4 linked regions of the Macaca mulatta genome follow. The main gene of each other region encodes a partner of the protein of the gene in region 4 in a complex. Links are inferred from orthologs where the notes say so. Each region holds a gene or a part of one and is shown on either strand. Other genes may lie near its edges. The genes, in order: IK, ZMAT2, SF3B3 and SMU1.

Evidence for each region.
Region 1: SMU1 (region 4) and IK share a complex: the UniProt entries of both Homo sapiens proteins name them as parts of the spliceosome B complex. The link is inferred for Macaca mulatta from reciprocal best matches to the Homo sapiens genes SMU1 and IK.
Region 2: SMU1 (region 4) and ZMAT2 share a complex: the UniProt entries of both Homo sapiens proteins name them as parts of the spliceosome B complex. The link is inferred for Macaca mulatta from reciprocal best matches to the Homo sapiens genes SMU1 and ZMAT2.
Region 3: SMU1 (region 4) and SF3B3 share a complex: the UniProt entries of both Homo sapiens proteins name them as parts of the spliceosome B complex. The link is inferred for Macaca mulatta from reciprocal best matches to the Homo sapiens genes SMU1 and SF3B3.

Annotation. Positions count from the first base shown.
Region 1 is NC_133411.1:149,502,059-149,507,089, reverse strand, and holds the end of IK (protein Red), read right to left. Parts: intron 4,388-5,031; exon of another isoform or gene 4,369-4,387; coding exon 4,290-4,368; intron 4,016-4,289; exon of another isoform or gene 4,011-4,015; coding exon 3,930-4,010; intron 3,376-3,929; coding exon 3,318-3,375; intron 2,173-3,317; coding exon 2,084-2,172; intron 1,891-2,083; coding exon 1,782-1,890; intron 1,611-1,781; coding exon 1,576-1,610; intron 1,488-1,575; coding exon 1,460-1,487; 3' UTR 1,309-1,459; downstream 1-1,308. UniProt on the Homo sapiens protein: Involved in pre-mRNA splicing as a component of the spliceosome. Auxiliary spliceosomal protein that regulates selection of alternative splice sites in a small set of target pre-mRNA species. Required for normal mitotic cell cycle progression.
Region 2 is NC_133411.1:149,548,654-149,553,047, reverse strand, and holds the end of ZMAT2 (zinc finger matrin-type protein 2), read right to left. Parts: intron 2,964-4,394; coding exon 2,820-2,963; 3' UTR 1,917-2,819; downstream 1-1,916. UniProt on the Homo sapiens protein: Involved in pre-mRNA splicing as a component of the spliceosome.
Region 3 is NC_133425.1:69,310,321-69,315,948, reverse strand, and holds part of SF3B3 (splicing factor 3B subunit 3), read left to right. Parts: intron 1-898; exon of another isoform or gene 899-989; intron 990-1,220; coding exon 1,221-1,358; intron 1,359-1,989; coding exon 1,990-2,093; intron 2,094-5,628. UniProt on the Homo sapiens protein: Component of the 17S U2 SnRNP complex of the spliceosome, a large ribonucleoprotein complex that removes introns from transcribed pre-mRNAs.
Region 4 is NC_133420.1:66,323,596-66,328,812, reverse strand, and holds the end of SMU1 (WD40 repeat-containing protein SMU1), read right to left. Parts: intron 4,366-5,217; exon of another isoform or gene 3,572-4,365; intron 2,943-3,571; coding exon 2,790-2,942; intron 2,074-2,789; coding exon 1,975-2,073; 3' UTR 1,588-1,974; downstream 1-1,587. UniProt on the Homo sapiens protein: Involved in pre-mRNA splicing as a component of the spliceosome. Regulates alternative splicing of the HSPG2 pre-mRNA. Required for normal accumulation of IK.

The sequences.
Region 1 (5,031 bases), on a different chromosome or scaffold from region 4:
CTCCCAAAGTGCTAGGATTATAGGCGTGAGCCACTGCGCCCAGCCTCTTCTTTTTTTAAATCAAGGTTTTGCTGTCACCCAGGCTGGGAATGCAGTGGTGTGATCATAGCTCACCACAGCCTTGAACTCTTCGGTTCGATCCTCCTGCATAGCTATAGGCTCACGAACTCCTGGCCTCAAGCGACTCTCCTGCTTTGGCCTCCCAAAGCACTGAGACTGTGGACATGAGTCATCGAGCCTGGCCTCAGAAACTGAATTTTAAACCAACAGTCAACCCCCAGGTCTTGCTTTTAGTGACTCTCCAGATGTCGTCTTCTGTGCCATGTCTCTGTGACCATTTTTAATAATTGGGACTGCTGCCTACATCCATGGAACCATGGTGTCATTTGTCTGAAATTAGCCATTCTAGGTGCTAGTGCAGCAAGGCCCAATTTCAGCCTCTTATGTGCAATGCACAATGCTGGCTTCCTCAAAAATACCTGTCCTACCAAGGTGAATACAGTCAAAGACAAGGCAATGGCTAAGGTGACTTTCTAGCTTTCTTGGATGTGGTGAGGCCACAAATCTTGGGCTCAGGGTAGACAGTGGCAGCCTGGCATCCAGCCAGGAAGCAGTAGTGACACCTAATGATGCGCACCAGACCAAAGTGCTGGTAAGGAGCAGAAAGGAAGAACAGGGAAAGGAATGGTGTGATTCAAAGGCCAACAGACTATTCTGGGGCTTGGCAAATGTTTCAGGGTGATGAAGGGCACCAAACCCTTCTGGCCTAGGATAGGAATTCCTGTACCTGCAGGGCCACACTATATCAGCTCTAAACCCGAAGCACTTCCCTAAGGTTACACCTTTAGCCAAGGAGGCAGTGATTTGTACTCAACATTAATAAAGCTCATAGGAAGACATAAACTCATAAAAGGTTTTGGTTCTCACCCGTAAGTGATTTTCATTAGATGCCTTCATCCAGAGCCCAGTCCTTCACAGCCTGGGGATCAGATTAGCAGCCCATTAGGCTGACTGCAGGATCCAGGAAATCTTTGTCCAGGGACTAGGCCTGAAGATGGGCCTGAATGAGTCTTACATTTGAAACCAATCATCCTTACATTCCTCTATCCACCTCTTGCCCATCAGTGAGGATCATTATTCCCTTCTCTACTGGGCACACTGGCTAGAAAGCATCCTTCATGTCTAGCAATCTAGAACCACAGCTCAGGAAAGGACTGATGGCTTTCTGCATGTGATTCTATGTAACCAGTGGAATTAGTGTTCTTGGTGCTTCAAGGGCACTGGAGGGGGCATGCTCAACAGAGAAGCTAGCAAGTTAACCAATTTTAATGGAACCAAGTAATTACACAATAAAATTTTATATTCATCCACCAAAAAACATCTTGCAACCTTTGGAAATTGTATAAAGAAAACAGTGGGAAGCATATCCTTGTGGAGGGTCTCCGGTTGTAACTGGTGATTAGTATTTTGGTCTTTTGACTTCAACCCTGCAATGGAAGGAGAAATGGGTCAGCATAAGATCAATACACTAAGCAATTCCCACCAGTCCCCCAGAGGAAGAATAATGCCACTCACCCATCAGCTTCCATCTTCTTCCTCTTCTCAATGATCTGCAAAAGGAACAGGATAGTCTATCACCAAGCTGCCCATCTAAGCTCACCTGAGGCCCAAGGCTGACCTCTCATTTCCATGGCTCTCCAGCCCCTTGCCTGTTCCTGAATCTGTAGGCTAATGTCTTCTCCCAGCTGAAACCCTCCCACCCAAGGGACCATCCTACTTACTGCACTAATCTTCTTCCACTGGCGATCAAGCTCTGCTTTGTCATTGGTTTCCTTGAAGCGCCTGGTTTTCCGCCCTTCAGACATTTTGATACCATACTGGAATGCAGCCCTGAAAAAAAGCACAGTTGGCAAAGAATGCTTCAGAGACTGCATAGCAGTGGTGAGGTTTTCCCAGGGTCCTGTGGGCAAAGAACTTAATTGGGAATATCTCAGCCAGACCATACCCTCTAACCTTATGTGCACTATTCCACCAAATCCCCACAACCCTCCTCACACCTTGCCCATATTCAGTACCGACTCACTTGGGCAAAGCCTCTTTGTTGTTCATATACTCGCTGTATTCTTCCTGGGTATCAAAGTCCCAACGGCCTAAGGGCCCCTTCTTGTTACCCTGTTGCAGGACAGAATGGGGGGACGGGGAAGGAAGAGATGTCAGGGAAAATGGAATTTCAGCCCTTGATTGAAGCCAGACTCTCCCATAATCCCAGGTTCCACAATTCATAAATCATACCCTGATATGTAATAATAAATGCCTATTACATACTATGTGACAGGCATTATTCTGTACACTAAATGCATTATCTCATTTAATTCTCATTAAAAAATCTATGAAGAGGGAACTACACTTCTCTCCATTTCCTGATGAGGAAATTGAGGCATAAACAGTAAAAGAACTTGGCAAGTTCACAAAACTAATAAATGGTAGAGGCAGGATTAAACAAGGCTCCAAGATTAAACTATGCTATTTCAATACAAAGAACTCAGGGGACGAATAGAGATTTCTTCACTATTAGTGGCATTAGTGGTTTTTTCTTTTTAATTTTGCTTAAGACTTAGAGGAAAACTTCAATCCCGGCTAGAATAAAATTTAGTTATTTTCCAAAGACTGCAATTTTTTTCTGCCCTTTCTACTTATGCATTGATGCTTGCTTACTGCCTACCATGGGAATCAAAGCGTGGCACTTTGCTATAGGAAATAAAAAATAGATTTTTGACCCTATGTCATTTGATCTTGTGCAAAGACTCTGAAATAGTTAAGCTGCTCATGACCCTCAATGCTGCTGTTTCTACTGCTGCAACTGGAGGAGGGTGGAGCCCAGTAAATGAGACAGATTTTTTAGGAGTGGGGAAGGAGATATATGTAAAAAAATATAATAATAATAACTACCCAGGCCGGGCGCGGTGGCTCAAGCCTGTAATCCCAGCACTTTGGGAGGCCGAGATGGGCAGATCACGAGGTCAGGAGATCGAGACCATCCTGGCTAACACGGTGAAACCCCGTCTCTACTAAGAAATACAAAAAATAGCCGGGCGAGGTGGCAGCGCCTGTAGTCCCAGCTACTCGGGAGGCTGAGGCCGGAGAATGGCGTGAACCCAGGAGGCGGAGCTTGCAGTGAGCTGAGATCCGGCCACTGCAATCCAGCCTGGGCTACAGAGCGAGACTCCGTCTCAAAAAAAAAAAAAAAAAAAAAAAAAAATAATAATAATAATAACAACAACTACCCAAAGGCGCCCACCATCCTTCTAACTACATACCTGGTCCATTTTGCTATAATCCACCTCCTCATCACTGTCCACAGCCATGTCATCCATCCTAAGGAGAAGCAGGAGTTAAACAGTTAAACACCCTGACCCTATGCTTCATCTGGAAACCTACCCGACTAAGAGGCTATCTGCATAGGAATGACCACCCCCTTGACCTCCCACTCAAAGCCTAATAAAATAGTTCATCCAAGTAAGAAGTAGCCTTGGGCCAGGTGCAGTGGCTCACTCCTGTAATCCCCACACTTTCAGAGGCTGAGGCAGGCAGATTACTTGAGGTCAGGAGTTCAAGACCAGCCTGGCCAACATGGTGAAACTGCATCTCTACTAAAAATACAAAAACTAGCCAGGTGTGGTGATGCATGCCTATAATCCCAGCTACTTGGGAGGATGCAGCAGGAGAACTGCTTGAACCCGGGAGGTGGTGGTTGCAGTGAGCCGAGATTACGCCATTGCATTCCAGCCTGGGCAACAGAGTGAGACTCTGTCTCAAAAAAAAAGAAAAAAAAAAAAAGTAGCCCTGGAACTTAGCAAATCAAATTTCCATTTCACCCCCAACTTGTTCCCCAATCATCCAGCCTCCTTCCTTAACCAGGTTTCACATACGTGGCTGGGTAGCACTCTGCATAACTGTTGGACATGCCAAAGAAATCTCCCAGCTGCTTTTTGTCTTCTGGTTTCTTCAGCATATGCTATGTTAAAGAAAACACTAGACAGGATTCCACCTATTGCTGCAAAGCTTCAGCGAGGAGGGACCAAGGGCTAGAAGCCCCAACATGAAAATTCTGAGAGGGCTGTGAGCTGTTACGGGTGCTCTAGGAAGGAACAAGGGATGGTTTCATTCTGTCAAAATTCAGCATAAAAGGGAAGGAGTGGGGCGGGGTAGGAGGGAGCCGGCAGGCAGAGGGGGTTGGAGTAAACAGATCAGTTCTCTAGAACCCAGGAACACATTAAAATAAAGGATATGATTCTGTGCCTTCCCAGCCAGTAGACCCAGCAAACTTTTCATTGATGGACTTGATCAACTCCTTGGCAGACCCAGGTCCTAGGAGAAAAAGAGAACTCTGCCCAGACCTTGAACTGAGGCTCTCACAACCTCCTCCCCACAACACACTTAAGAAACATTTTTTTTTTTTTTGAGACAGAGTCTCGCTCTGTCGCCCAGGCTGGAGTGCAGTGGTACGATCTTCACTGACTGCAAGCTTCGCCTCCTGGGTTTACGCCATTCTCCTGCCTCATCCTTCCGTGTAGCTGGGACTACAGGCGCCCGCCACCACGCCTGGCTAATTTTTGTATTTTTAGTAGAGACGGGGTTTCACCGTGTTAGCCAAGATGGTCTTGATCTCCTGACCTCGTGATCCGCCCGTCTCGGCCCCCCCGTGCTGGGATTACAGGCGTGAGCCACCGCGCCCGGCCTAAGAAACATTTTTTAAGGCATAGAACCCGTTTGTCTGACAAAGTCTTAAACAAACTCCAATAAATAATGAGTTACTCTGGTTGAGATTAGGGTAGGGTATCCAGAACATTCCATACTTGACCTCTACCTCACCTCCTCAGAACCCCAGGGCCACAGGAATTATATCTAAGACCAAATATGCCCTGCCATGGCCCAGGAAGGTGGAGGGAACTCCACCTATTCCATAAAGCAAGACACGGTTCTTAGGAGAACCCAGAACCAGTAAGTCCCCAAATCCTACCATTGCCAGCT
Region 2 (4,394 bases), on a different chromosome or scaffold from region 4:
AGGATCATCTTTTGTTCCCCAGGTACTCTGAAGGGCAATTCCACCAGAATGTAAATTCCATGACATCTGGGACTTTGATGCATTGCCCCAGAAGATAATACCAGTACCTACAGCATGTTCACCTAAGCACTGGTCAAGCGGATTTTCCTCAACCAGAATGCAAACATTTCCATTGGTTTTAGAAAGACCTGAAAGAGGCCGGGCACGGTAGCTCATACCTGTAATCCCAGCACTTTGGGAGGCCGAGGCGGGCAGATCACGAGGTCAGGAAATCAAGACCATCCTGGCTAACATGGTGAAAACCCGTCTCTACTAAAAATACAAAAAAATTAGCCGAGGATACTGGCGGGCACCTGTAATCCCAGCTATTCAGGATGCTGAGTCAGGAGAATCACTTGAACCCAGGAGGTGGAGGTTACAGCGAGCTGAGATCATGCCACTGCACTCTAGCCTGAGTGACAGTGACACTCAAAAAAAAAAAAAAAAAAAAACTGAACCATGGAAGGAACTCACTGAAACCTCCAGCCTGCCTTGAAAGGGGTAACAAAAGACCTCGTCAACAACAAGACTGTCACCCAAGGGACCTGAAGTGCACATAATCCTGCCAAGAAAAGCACCCACCAATCTGCCCCCATTGCCCAATACTTACTGTATCTAAAACTTTGAGCCAGGCCTTGAGCCCACAGGTGAAGATACATTCATGGTGTTCCCAGTGGTAAGATTCAGCATCACATGTTTACAGTAAGGGAATTTTGTACAAAAGTCCAAAGGGAGGTGTATGATGCTTTGTGGTTCAGATACTACAGAAAGGTGAAGAGCTTGATGGGGCAGAGAATGAATACCAGCTATATGGTGGCAGCCTTGTTAACCCAACGGATCCATTTTTTCAGGGTATAGAACCAGCAAGAGTTACAGGTTTCATCTGCTTGAAGTTAATGTGTTAAAGTTAATAATTCTCCGTGTATGTATGACTATTTTTTTTCCTCTGCATCCCCTGGACTTGGTACAGTACTTGATCCAGTGGATATCAAAGTTTTGTGAGTTTCTGTACTGAGTTTACCAGTCTGTGCCATCTAATTCTCAAATTAGACCAAGGTAGGGAAAACAGCTAGCTGCTTCTCAGTGGATTTCAATGTGGGTAGGGAGGGATTTTGCCTTTCTCAGGGGCATAGACATTTTTAGTTGTCACAATTGTGGAAGAGGGTGCTACTGGCATCTAGCAGGTAAAGGCCAGGGATGAAGTTAATCCTAAATCAAAATCAAAATCATAAACACCCTACACTGCACAGCATTGGTTTCTACAACAAATGATAATCTGGCCCAAAATATCAACAGTGCCAAGATTAAGTAATCCTGTGTCTAGCAGACAGTAAGAAACACACTAAGGGCAGGGTGCAATGGCTCACGCCTATAATCCCAGCACTTTGGGAGGCTGAGGCAGGTGGATCACCTGAGCAAGGAGTTCTAGACCAGCCTAGCCAACATGGTGAAACCCCATCTCAACTAAAAATACAAAATTAGCCGCTTGAAGCCAAGAGGCGGAGGTTGCAGTGAGCCAAGACCGCGCCACTGCACTCCAGACTGGGCGATAGAGCAAGACTCTCTCAAAAAAAAAAAAAAAAAAAGAAAAAGAAAAAGAAAAACACTAAGTTCAATCCTGAGCTCTACTGTTCCAAAAACAAAAGATCAAAGGAGTCTGAAATGATAGGAATAGTTTTGGTTCAGGCTCCTCTGGACACAGATCCCTTACCAGAGGAAAACATAACTCATGCTAAAAAAAAAAAAAAAAAAATCCTAGGCAAAAATAAGATTTAAAATGGAAGAATAAAACACTCTATGGAAATCCTCAGCATGAGAAGGAAAAACAAATATTCACAGGCAAAATTATGGAATGTTCCCACCAAATGTAAAACAGGCCCAGTCAATGCCATTTATTATACATGTTGAACAGCTTCTAAGACCCAAGGGCTCCCATAATAAGGTTTTGGGGATTTTTTGTTTTGTTTTGTTTTTCATTTTCTTCTTTGCATCAAACAGGTTCTTCCAAAAGCCTGCTCACAAGGAAGACAAAAACAGAAATCCTCAGGAAAATGAAACAAGAGAACCTGAAACAATCTACACCTGAATGTTAAAAAACTCATCAGACACAAACCACACCAAACACTCATCCCATTTAATTTCCTGTTACATGCTCTGAGGAAGCCAAGAACATCAGGCCCCAGGGCAGCAATGCTCTAGGATTCCAGCTCAGGCCCCCTCTATGTGACAGATTCATGCACACACATCCACACACCATAGAACCAGGCAGAAATACACATGCATGCACAGGTAGCTAGAGAACCATAGGGCGGGATGGGAAAAAGGGCTGGTCAAGGATATGCAATCAACTGGAAACTGGGACCTAGAGAATGCTTCTGTTGCAGGCTGAACATGAGATAAAATTAAAACAAAGGCATAACACAGGATAAAGTTGGGATGCTCAGACAAGAGGCTGGATAGATGGAGAGATAAAGATGCAGGGGGAGTTTTGGGAAAGCAGCCTCAGAAGGGGAGGTTTTTCTTTATTGGAAACTCAGGTGGGCAGGGGTCCTATGACTCCAGCGATATACTGAGGCTGAAGCAATATGCCACAGCATTACCTCTGCAATCTGTGCCCTCTCCCAAAGTAGAGGGAAACCATGAGCCCCACCCTCTATCCCTCCCCATTGACACTCTTAAGAACTTTCCCATCACCCAAAAAGAAATGACCCCCGACTACACACACACACACACAAAGTTAGGTCCAGCATAGGCCCAAGTTAGGCCAAGCATAGAAAGCCTCAGTAACTCTTCTTGGTGGAACCAAAGCCAGAGAAGCCCATCACAGCTGCCATCTCATCGTCCTCCTCAAATGTCAAGTCCTCCTCAGCCCTCCTTTTCTTCTCCTTCTGTTTCTCTTTCTTGTATGCTTTGGCCTTTTCTTCCTGGAGGGAAAAATCACTCAGAATCAGTTTAGACTCCTCAGCCAAATGTTACTGAAAAAGACATGAGTTTCAAGACTCCTTTCTATCTTTAGGAGAAAGTACTTAAGACAAGTAAAATCTCAAGGACAGAGTAAAAGCCAGAGTAAAAATTATAAAGGATAACAAAAAGAAGTTTTAGCCTCTAGAGAGAAGTTCTCAAGCCTGCACTCTAGTTCATTTTTTTTTTTTTTTTTTGAGAGAGTCTTGTTCTGTCGCCTAGGCTGGAGTGCAGTGGCACAATCTCGGCTCATCGCAACCTCCACCTCCTGGGTTCAAGCAATCCTCCCACCTCAGCCTCCCAAGTAGCTGGGACTATAGGCGTGTGCCACTGCACCCAGCTAATTTTTGTATTTGTAGAGACAGGGTCCCACCATGTTGCTGGGGCTGGTCTTGAACTCCTGGTCTCAAGTGATCCATCCACCTTGGCCTCCCAAAGTGTTGGGATTACACGCGTGAGCCACTGCGTCTGGCCCCATGTCATTTCTAGTTCCTGACAGGGTTATGACAGCAAAACCATATAATAGCAACTGACATTCTGGGGCATGCAGTACATGCCAGAAATTGCTCTGAGTACTTCATGCATATTATACTAAGATCTCTAATATGGGGATACTGAGGCACAAAGAGGTTATATAACTTGCCCAAGATTCACAGCCAGTAAGTGGAAGAAACAGAATTCTGACCCAGTCAGCCTGATTTCATGGGCCTCCTTAGGACTAGGTACATTTAGTTAATTCCTCTTGTAGTTAAAAAAAAAAAGTATGGAGGAAGCTATGCATGTTGTGGGGGACAATGGGTATATGGGAAATCTTTATACCTCCCTCTCGATTTTGTTGCAAACCCAAACTGCTCTAAAAAAAGTTAAGTCTTTTTTTTTTTTTTTTTTTTTTTTTTTGAGACGGAGTCTCGCTCTGTAGCCCAGGCTAGAGTGCAGTGGCCAGATCTCAGCTCACTGCAAGCTCCACCTCCCGGGTTCACGCCATTCTCCGGCCTCAGCCTCCCAAGTAGCTGGGACCACAGGCGTCCGCCACCTCGCCCGGCTAGTTTTTTTTTTTTGTATTTCTTAGTAGAGACGGGGTTTCACCGTGTTAGCCAGGATGGTCTCGATCTCCTGACCTCGTGATCCACCCGTCTCGGCCTCCCAAAGTGCTGGGATTACAGGCTTGAGCCACCGCACCCGGCCAAAAAAAAAGTTAAGTCTTTTTAAAAAATTAAATCAAAGAATACAGATGAGAGTCCTCAACTTACGATGCTCTGACAAGATTTTTCAGTTTTACAATGGTGCAAAACTGACATGCATTTGAAACTGTACTTCAAGTATCCATATAACCATTGTTTTTCACATTCAGTACAGTATTCAATAAATTAATGAGATGAATACTTTATTATAGA
Region 3 (5,628 bases), on a different chromosome or scaffold from region 4:
CTTATAGTCTGTCCCATAGTCCGTTTCCTCATGATTATATTGAGTTTAATGTTTTTGATATAATAAGTGCAGAGGGGGTGATGTATAGGTGATATATGTTCTCCACTATGTCACACATTGTGTGTCCATAATGTTGGTTTATCTGATTGAGACATTAACTTGGTCACTTTGTTAAGGTGGTGCCTGCCCATTGTCTTCATTGTAATGGTGTCTTTTCTTTTTTGGTAACTGATAATGGAATTTGATGGTGATCTTTGAGACTAGTGAATGTCCCTCATCCTGAGACTAGTAAATATCCTTCTTCCTGAGATTAGTGAATATCCCTCTTCCCCAGCGTCTTTTCACCCAGTGGTTTTGGTGTGGATCCTTTGAATCAGTTATTGCCATCTCTCCCCTCACCCCTGGATTATTTATTTGCTGTTAAATACTTATCTGTCCTGGAGTTGAACTTTAGGATTTAATTTAATACGTAGTATGTAAGATTCCATCAATATTAGAAAACCTTAGAAGAAATTTGGCAAGTTAAATTCTTCTTGTTAAGGGATGGGAAGTCACTAAGTTAATTAGACGTTGAGACCTAACTATGCCAGGCACCGTACTTGGCTTTGCAATAATAAAGTCTAAAATTCTTGCCGAACTTACTCGGTGAGAGAAATAGACTGTTGAAAACGTTAAAAAACGCAAGCCAGGCGCAGTGGTGTTCCTCTGATCCCCAGCTACTTGAGAGGCTGAGGCGGGAGGATCCCTTGAGCCCAGGAGTTAGAGACCAGTCTGGGCAACATAGTGAGACATTGTTTTGAAAGAAAAAAAATTCAAAATCATATCTAAGAAGGTGCCTTTTAGGAATCAGGCATTTGATGTAGAACATGGTAGTTTGGATGGAGCAGTGCTTCATTCACAGCCTGAAATGATGACTCTTTAAATTTCATGTCTCTTCTCAGACATTTTTCTCTGGAGATAATTTTTGCCTTATGGATCTGATCAGGCTGTAGTGAAATTGGGACTCTTTTGGTTACCCAGAGTTTATTAGATATTTGTAGCAGGAGAATTTTGAGCTGTGGAGTTCCAGTGTTCTGGCTGGCAGGACACTCTGGATCAAAGCTTGTGCCTTTAGGCCTTTAATGTCATGTGTAATCCCTATTGGTAAAGTGCTGAATTCTAGAACTAAGAAGTACCCATTTCTAAGACGTCGAATGTGTTTGTGTTTTTCACTTTGCTAGAATGACCTGGATGACCCTGAAAGAGGAATGATTTTTGTTTGCTCTGCAACCCATAAGACCAAATCGATGTTCTTCTTTTTGGCTCAAACTGAGCAGGGAGATATCTTTAAGATCACTTTGGAGACAGATGAAGATATGGTAAGTAGATCATGGAAGGACCAGTACAGCTACTCTATGAGATGAGATAGGCAAGACAGGTAATAGTTTACAAGTTAAAATAATGGGAATTAGAAAGTAGTTGCCTTTGGAACCGGTATATGAGTATAGATTTTTCTCTCTGGTTATTAGATTTTTTTGTCTGGTAATCTTACATACAATATAAGAGTGGTAATGCCACTTGTAGTGATTATTTTTAGGTGGTAATAATTGGTGTGAAGAAGATAAAGGTCTCTGTTTCTACTGAAAACTGGTAATAAACGTGATCTGTTACTAGTTTTATCTTATGGACGAGCTCTGTGAATAGTTGGGCAATTTCTTAGGTAGCTGTTTGGATCAGGAATTGGCAAACATGTTTTTGTAAAGGCCACATAGTAAATATTTGCAGCTTTTGTGAGCTACGTAGTCTCCGTCTCAACTACTCAACTCTGCCGTTACGTACGAAGATAGCCACAGCCAGTAATAATTGACATGAGTGGCCCGTGAGCTGGAGTTTGCTGTCCCCTGGTCAGATATGAAATACAGTATTTTATTTGCTACTCAGCCTGTGCTGTCTTATAATATGGGGCTCACTTCACTTGTTTGTACACCAGAATGTTTCTTTTCTCGCCAGGTTACTGAGATCCGGCTCAAGTATTTTGATACTGTACCAGTTGCTGCTGCTATGTGTGTGCTTAAAACAGGATTCCTTTTTGTAGCATCAGAATTTGGAAACCAGTGAGTAATCCTTCTGTTACCCTAGTTCACCCTGGTTGCGATAAAAGTTGGCAGCAGAGGCTGGGTGCAGTGACTCACGCCCGTAATCCTAGTTCTTTGGGAGGCCGAGGCGGGTGAATCACCTGAGGTCAGGAGTTCGAGACCAGCCTGGTCAACATGGTGAAACCCCATTTCCACCTAAAATACAAAAATTAGCTGGGTGTGGTGGCTGGCACCTGTAATCCCAGCTACTCGGGAGGCTGAGGCAGTAGAATCACTTGAATCCGGGAGGTGGAGGTTTCAGTGAGCTGAGATCACGCCACTGTACTCCAGCCTGGGTAACAAGAATGAAACTGTATCTCAAAAAAAAAAAAAAAAAAAGGGTTGATAGTAGGAAGGTGTGACTTTGAGGCTTGGAGCTTTTCACAAGAATGTGTTAGTTCTTTCAAAAGAAAAGTTTGTTTTCTCCCTTTAGAGTCTTTCTTTGTCTTACCTTCCTTTATTTTAGTGGCTTCAGTCAGTACCTCTGTGGGTATCTCCAGAACTATCTTTAGATTTGATGTCTCTTCTGAGTTTTTGGCTGAACATTTCATCAAATAATTTTTTTTTTTGAAATGGAGTTTCGCCCTTGTTGTGGCTGGAGTGCACCGGCGTGATCTTGGCTCACTGCAACCTCCGCCTCCCAGGTTCAAGCGCTTCTCCTGCCTCAGCCTCCTGAGTTGCTGGGATTACAGGCATGCACCACCACGCCCAGGTCATTTTATATTTTTGGTAGAGACAGGGTTTCTCCATGTTGCTCAGGCTGGTCTCAAACTCCCAACCTCAGGTGATCCGCCCGCCTCGACCTCCCAAAGTGGGTGGGTTATAGGTGTGAGCCACCGCGCCCGGCCATTTCATCAAATAAATACTTATTGAAATACTTAAGTACTGCTGGGCTTAGTGGCTCACGACTGTAATCCCAGCACTTTGGGAATCCAAGGTGGGCAGATCACCTGAGGTTGGAGTTCGAGACCAGCTGGACAACATGGTGAAACCCTGTCTCTACTAAAAATACAAAAATTAGCCGGGCATGGTGGCGGGCGCCTATAATGCCAGCTACTTGGGAGGCCGAGGCAGGAGAATCGCTTGAACTTGGGAGTTGGAGGTTGCAGTGAGCCGAGATCGCGTCATTGCACTCCAGCCTGGGCGTTGAGCAAGACTCCGTCTCAAAAAAGAAAAATTAAATAAAAAAATGAAATACTTACTATTAAAGAGATGTTCCATAAGCACTTGACAGGTACCTATCTAGGGTTGAAGCTTACCAGCGCTTAGCTGCCCACCCATATCAGCAGCCCTCCCATCCTCACTATTTCTGTTAGTGTCTAATAGACTAGTTATAGCAACTAAAATGTGAAATCTCAAATTTTTTTTATTGTCCACCGCTTTCAGTCATGTGCTAAGTTCTGTTTTTACCTGTGTACCCCTTTTCGTAATGCTAATCTGAACTAGTTCACTAGTTTTTTTATTTCATTGCCTTTCCTGTAAAACTCAGCCTTTTGTAGCATCATCTAATCCAGCAGACAAGACAACCTTGAATAAATAATTTCCCCTATCCCTGTATCATAATCATAAGTGGCTTTTCATTGCCAAATGGAAGAAATCTGAATTCTAGCCTCAAATTTAAGACCACTGTCTAAGACTACAAGTTACACAAGATAAGGTGACATGGTCTTGCCAGTATCTGCTAAAGTGTAGTCATACCACTTTACTAATCTAGTGCTCAGTTTCTTCATAATTAAAATACTGTCTAGGATTTTGTGCCATTTCTGCCTTGTTTCTAGCTATTCTCTCAATCTTAAATAAAATGCCTTTTACTCCTCAGTGACTTTTTTCTTTCATTTTTAAATCAAGATAGGGTGTCACTATGTCTTCCAGGCTGGTCTTGAACTCCTGGACCCAAGCGATCCTCTCCCCTTGGCCTCCCAAAGTGCTGGGATTGTAAACTTAAACCACCACACCTACCTTTCAGGTTTTTGGGCCTTTTTTTTTTTTTTTTTTGATCGACTCACTCTATCACTCAGGGTGGAGTGCAGTGATCTCAGCTCACTGCAACCTCCACCTCCTGGCTTCAAACGATTCTCCTCTCTCAGCCTCCTGAGTAGCTTGGACTCAGGTGTGTGCCACCATGCCCAGCTAATTTTTTTTTGTATTTTTAGGAGAGAACAGGGTTTTGCCATGTTGGCCAAGCTGGTCTCAAACTCCTGACCTCAAGCAATCCATCCACCTTGGCCTTCCGAAGTGCTGGGACTCCAGGCGTGTGCTACCGTGCCTAGCCGAGCCTTCTTAGCTTTTTGGGTTTTTTTGTTGTTATTGTTTGTTTGAGACAGAGTCTTACTCTGTTTTCTGGGATGCTGGAGTGCAGGGGCACAGTCTCGGCTTGCTGCATCCTCAACCTCCCAGGCTCAAGGTTAACCTTCCATCTCAGCCTCCCAAGTAGCTGGGACTATTAATTAGCAAGGCACATGCCTGGCTAATATTTGTATTTCTTGTAGAGTCTCAAACTTCTGGACTTAAGCAATCCACCTGCCTCAGTCTCCCAGTGTGCTGGGATTACAGACTTGAGCCACAGTGCCTGGCTGATATTTGTCCCTTTGTATCTAGCTCATTTTACTTGGCATAATATTTAGAAGATTCATGTTCAAAAAAAAAAAAAGAAGGAGATTCATGTTTTGGTAGCCTGTGTCAGAACTCATTCCTTTTTATGGCAGAATTACTCATTGTTTGTACATACTGTATTTTGTTTATCCATTCTACTGCTGATGTACACTTGGATTGTGTCCACCTTTCACAATTGGGAGTAATGCTGTGGTAGATGTTGCTGTGCTAATACCTATTTGAGTCCCCATTTTTAATTTTTTTGAGTGTATATGTAGGAGTGGAATTACTGGGTCATGGTAATTCCGTGTTTAACTTTTTGAGAAACCACCAAACTTTCTCAAAGCAGCTACATCCGTTTTACATTCCCAACAGCAGTATATGAGGGCTGCAGTTTCTCCACATCCTTGCTGACTTGTTTTCCACATTTGTGATTATAGCCATCCTGCTAGGTATGCAGTGGTGGTATGAAGTGGTAGCTTTGCCTTTCCCCCGGGATGAGTGATGTTGAGCATCTATTTTTTTTTTTTTGAGACGGAGTCTTGCTCTGTCTTCCAGGCTGGAGTGCAGTGGTGCGATCTCCACTCACTGCAAGCTCTGTCGCCTCCCGGGTTCACGCCATTCTCCTGCCTCAGCCTCCCGAGAAGCTGGGACTACAGGCGCTTGCCACCTTGCCCGGCTGATTTTTTTTGTATTTTTAGTAGAGAGGGGGTTTCACCATGTTCGCCAGGATGGTCTCGATCTCCTGACCTCGTCCTGCCTCGGCCTCCCAAAGTGCTGGAATTACAGGCGCAAGCCACCGTGCCCGGCTGATGTTGAGCATCTTTTTGTGTTTATTGGCCATTTGTGTATCTTTGTTGGAGAAATGTCTATTCAAATCCCGTTGCCCATTTTTTAAGAGTTGTCTTCTTGTATTTGAGTT
Region 4 (5,217 bases):
GACTATGTTCAACTCCCACGACCATTTTAAAATCATCAAAATGGCAGCAAATGACATTACCTGGGCCAAAAAGCTGCAGGTTTTGTGGCAAATGGGAAATGTGTTACAGAATATGACTGGGAAAGAGGGATTTCTTAGTGTCGCTCAGAATTAATTCAGCAAACACTGAACATTACTACGTGCCCCACATAGGATCATACTGCATTTCAAGTCACAATCAAAGGTAAATTACAAGGCTGGGCGCGGTGGTTCATGCCTGTAATCCCAGCACTTCGGGAGGCCGAGGCAGGCAGATCACCTGAGGTCAGGAGTTCAAGACCAGCCTGACCAACATGGTGAAACTCCCCGCCCCCCCCCAAACTAAAAATATAAAAATTAGCCAGGCATGGTGGCATGTGCCTGTATTCCCAGCTACTCGGGAAGTATCAAGAATCGCTTGAACCTGGGAAGTGGAGGTTGCAGTGAGCTGAGAGGGCACCATTGCACTCCAACCTGGGCAACAGAGCAAGACTCCATCTCAAAAAAATAAAATAAATTTTTAAAAAAAGTAAATTACAAGACTGCAAAACTTTAAAAAAACCTTCCCCATTAGTTTGTACCTAATAAATGCTAACATTTAAAAGGGGGCACAAAAGGCCTGTGGAAACAAGAACTCACATTCTTGAAAGTAGTGCCTAGCACAGTATCTTCCTCATCATCAGAGGTGCTCTATACATCTTTAGTTGAAACATGAAACAGACATCCATATGCAAAATATTTTCAAGGGTTTTGTTGACTTTTACATGTTTTTCTTTAGCTAACTGGTAATGATGCACATTACAAAGGAGACTTTTCTAAATCTCAAGTACTTTTGCTAATTTTTCTTTGAAACAACAGCACATTTCCAATGCCAAACCATCCCCTACAACGTACAAAGGGGAGATGACAAAACTCTGAATTCTTGTAACGGATCCTGCAACTAGTTCTATTCAGAAGATGGAGACAATATTCCCTGGAGTTGATTGAACATGTGAGAAGGCACAGCTCAGAAGGAGAGGAAAGCTGAGGGCAGTGAAATGAGAACCTATGCATCACCTGGCCTTTTTACATGTTAGTCTATCCTACTATCCCAGGAATTCACTTCTGCTATACTTGAGATTCGGGGATAATAATGTCACTCCTCCTCCCAAATTCTAAGTAAATATGTTAACTAGATGAGCATTTATTTACATTTTAGAACAAAGTCTCCAGAAAGGTATAAAGTTTATTAACATCTTCAAAAAAAAAAAGATGGGCTGGGCATGGTGGCTCATGCCTGTGATCTCAGCACTTTGGGAGGCCAAGGCGGTTGGATCACTTGAGGTCAGGAGTGTGAGACCAGCCTGGCCAACACGGTGAAATCCCATCTCACTAAAAATACAAAAAAATTAGCCAGGCATGGTATCACACACCTATAGTCCCAGCTACTCAGGAGGCTGAGGCAGGAGAATCGCTTGAACCTGGGAGGCGGAGGTTGCAGTGAACCAATATCGTGCCGCTGCACTCCAGCCTGGGCAACAAGCAAAACTCCATCTCAAAAAAAAAAAAAAAAAAAAAAAAAAGATGGAACAGAATACAGCTACTGAATATGATATAGTTCCTTATTTACAAGTTTTACTATAGGAGGGACATTTTAATCAGCATTTCAAATAATCAAAGGAGTAGAATTTTTTTCTAGAAAATCGGTATTTCACTTTCCAGGTATAAGATTAATGAAAACATTAAGTGACTGCACCAGTTAGAAGATAAACTAGTACCTTAAAAATATATTAAAAAAAGGAAGGGATACTTGCTACTTAAACATGAATTTTCACAAAATTATTCTTGTGACTAATTCAGACAATCTATTTGCTTAGAAAAGTGGGCCAAAAAAAAAAGAAAGAAAAAAAAAGCACATTACATGACTATGCCTTCATTTAAGTATGTGCTTTCACTGATTTAAAAAGGAAAGTTGAATTATGGTTTCCAGAGCTTTAGGAGTCCATCTTCACTGTAGGTAGCAATCAGGTTCTGATGAGGGTGATGTGCAATACCAATCACATCCTTCTCGTGCACCTGGAACACGTAAAGCACAGGGTTAGGGTGTACAGATCTGCAATAAATCACTCTGATGACGCTTCCAGAGCTGGGTGGAAGGGAAAGAGATCAAGGCCTGATATTCCAAATGGCATAGGAGAAAGATGGAGGAAGGTTTTCCAACTCACATCACATTGTGACATAATAAGAAATAAACTTTAGGCTGGGTGCAGTGGCTCATGTCTGTAATCCCCGTACTTTGGGAGGCGGAGGCAGGTGGATCACTTGAGATCAGGAGTTCAAGACCAGCCTGGCCAAGATGGTGAAACCCCGTTTCCACTAAAGATACAAAAAATTAGCCAGAAGTGGTGGCATGTGCCTGTAGTCCCAGTTACTCGGGAGGCTGAGGCAGGAGAATCACTTGACTCCAGGAGGCAGAGGTTGTAGTGAGCTGAGATCACACCACTGCATTCTAGCCCAGGTGACAGAGTGAGACTCCTTCTCAAAATAAAATAAAATAAAATAAAATAAAAAATAAACTTGTTTAGTGTTAAGCCACTGAGATTTGGGGATCATCATAGCAGCTGACATTAATTTTACTTCTTGAATTTAACATGGAGCTAAATGTTTTAAAACAATGTTTTTTATACTGAGGGTCACATTGATAGTAGTCTGGAAAAGGCACATACTTCAGAGTTCAGAAAGACACAAGTCTTACCATATTTCTTTAGATGAACTTAGTAAGTAATACTCACTGTCAAAGTTCTCTCCAGTTTGCCAGTGACCGTACTGAAACAGTAGAGCACAAAGTCCTCCCCTACACAGTAGATCCATTCACCACGGGGAGAGAGGGCACAGCAAACAAAGTCCCCACCTTCTCTTTTACCAGAACTGAAGCTTCTGACAATCTAGATCACACCACACCCCAAGACAAAAACATCAGGATTAGTAGCAGCTCAACCATGTGCAGCCTTTTCAAGTGACATTTTTACGTTGTTATTTTGCACTTTGGTTTACTATCATTTGTAATTAGATCTCCAATCCTGTTCAGCATGTGCTAACTCCCCATGCCTGGGAAATATTCAATAGATAAGTAATCTAAACTAAATGGCAGACAAAAATTTAGAATTCATACATCCCACATCACCAATCATGCCCTAAAGAGACATATTACCCTTAAGCAAATTTCATTGCCATACATAAAACAATTTTCTAAATCAATATACCAGTAGTTCTCAAAGCTTTCTGGATGTCTGCTCCCCAGTTTCCTCTAACAGAATGAGAAGCTTTCCCCATGCAGGATGATACTTTGTCTCTAAGACTTTGCTTGCTCTATTGATACAACATTAAAATCATCATAAACCAAGCTGAGAGAAACCAATCCGAAAAGTCTACATACTATATGCTTCCATTTCTATACCATTTTCAAAATGACAAAATTATAATAATGGAAAACAGATCAGTGATTGCCAAGGGTTAGGGATTGGAATTAACTTGAATTTAAAACATGATACCATTTACATTAGCAGCCCCAAAGTGAAAATACTTAGGTATAAATCTACCAAAATACATACAATATTTAAATGAGGAAAATTACAAAATTCTGATGAATGATATCAAAGAACTAAACAGAGAGATAGTCTATGTTCATGAATTGGAAGACTCAATATGGTAAAGACATCAGTTCTTCCCAACTTAATCTATAGATTTCACACAATCCCAATCAAAATCCCAGCAAAGTATTTTGTGGATATTGACAACCCAATTCTAAAGCTTACACAAAGAGGCAAAAGACCCAGAACAGTGAACTCAATATTGAAAGAGAAGGACAAAGTTGGAGGGCTCACAATAACCAACTTCAAGATTTACACAAAGCTATAGTAATCCAGACAGTGTGGTATTGGTAAAAGAACAGATCAATGGAACAGAATACAAAGCCCAGAAATACACTCAACTGATTTTTGACAAAGAAGCAAAAGCAATGTAATAAAGAAAAGATAGTGTTTTCAACAAGACATGCCATGACTGGACATTTATATGCAAGAAAATGAATCTAGACACAATAAAATAAAGACCTTACAGTCTTCACAAAAATTAACTCAAAATGGATCACAGACCTAAATGTAAAACTCAAAATTGTATATAAAACTCTTAGAGGAAAACAAAAAAGAAAATCTAGACGATCTTGAGTTTGATGACTTTTTAGATACAATTCCAAAGACACGATCCATGAAATAACTGATAAGCTAGATTTCATTAAAATTAAACACTTCTGCTCTGTAAAAGCCACTGTCAAGAAAATGAAGCCAGATGCAGTGGCTCATGCCTGTAATCCCAGCACTTTGGGAGGCTAAGGCGGGAGGATCACTTGAGGCCAGGAGTTTGAGACCAGCATCAGCAACATGGCAAGACCCCATTTCCACACACACACACACACACAAAGTCGGGCATTGTGGCACATGCCTGTACTCCCAGCCACTTAGAAGGCTTAGGCAGGAAGATTTCTTGAGCCCAGGAGCTCAAGGATGCAGTGAGCTATGACCATGCCACTGCATTCCAGCCTGGGCAATGGAGCAAGACTCTGCCTCAAAAAAAAAAAAAAAAAAAAGGAAGAAAATGAAAAGACAAGCCACGGATGGGGAGAAAATATCTGTAAAAACTAGATTTGATAAAGAACTATTATCCAAAACATATAAAGAACTCTTAAAATTCAACAGCAAGAAAACAACCCAATTGAAAAATGAGTCAAATACCTGAAACAGACACTTCGCCAGAAGTATACAGATGACAAATGAGCACACGAAAAGATTTCCACATTTCATTAGGGAAATGCAAATTAAAATGAGATACCACTACACACCTATTAGAATGGCCAACATCCAGAACACTGACCACACCCAGTGCTGGTGAGGATGTGCAGTAACAGGAACTCTCATTCACCAAGGGTGACGATACAAAATGATACATCCATTTTGGAACAGTTTAATAGTTTCTTACAACTAAACATACTTTACCATACAATCCAGTAATCACACTACTTAGCATTTACCCAAAGAAAGAGAAAACATATTAACACAAAAATCTGCACATGGATGTTTATAGCAGCTTTACTCATAATTGCCAAAACTTGGAAGTCCTTCAGTAGATGACTGGATAAATAAATGTTATTCAGCATTTAAAAAA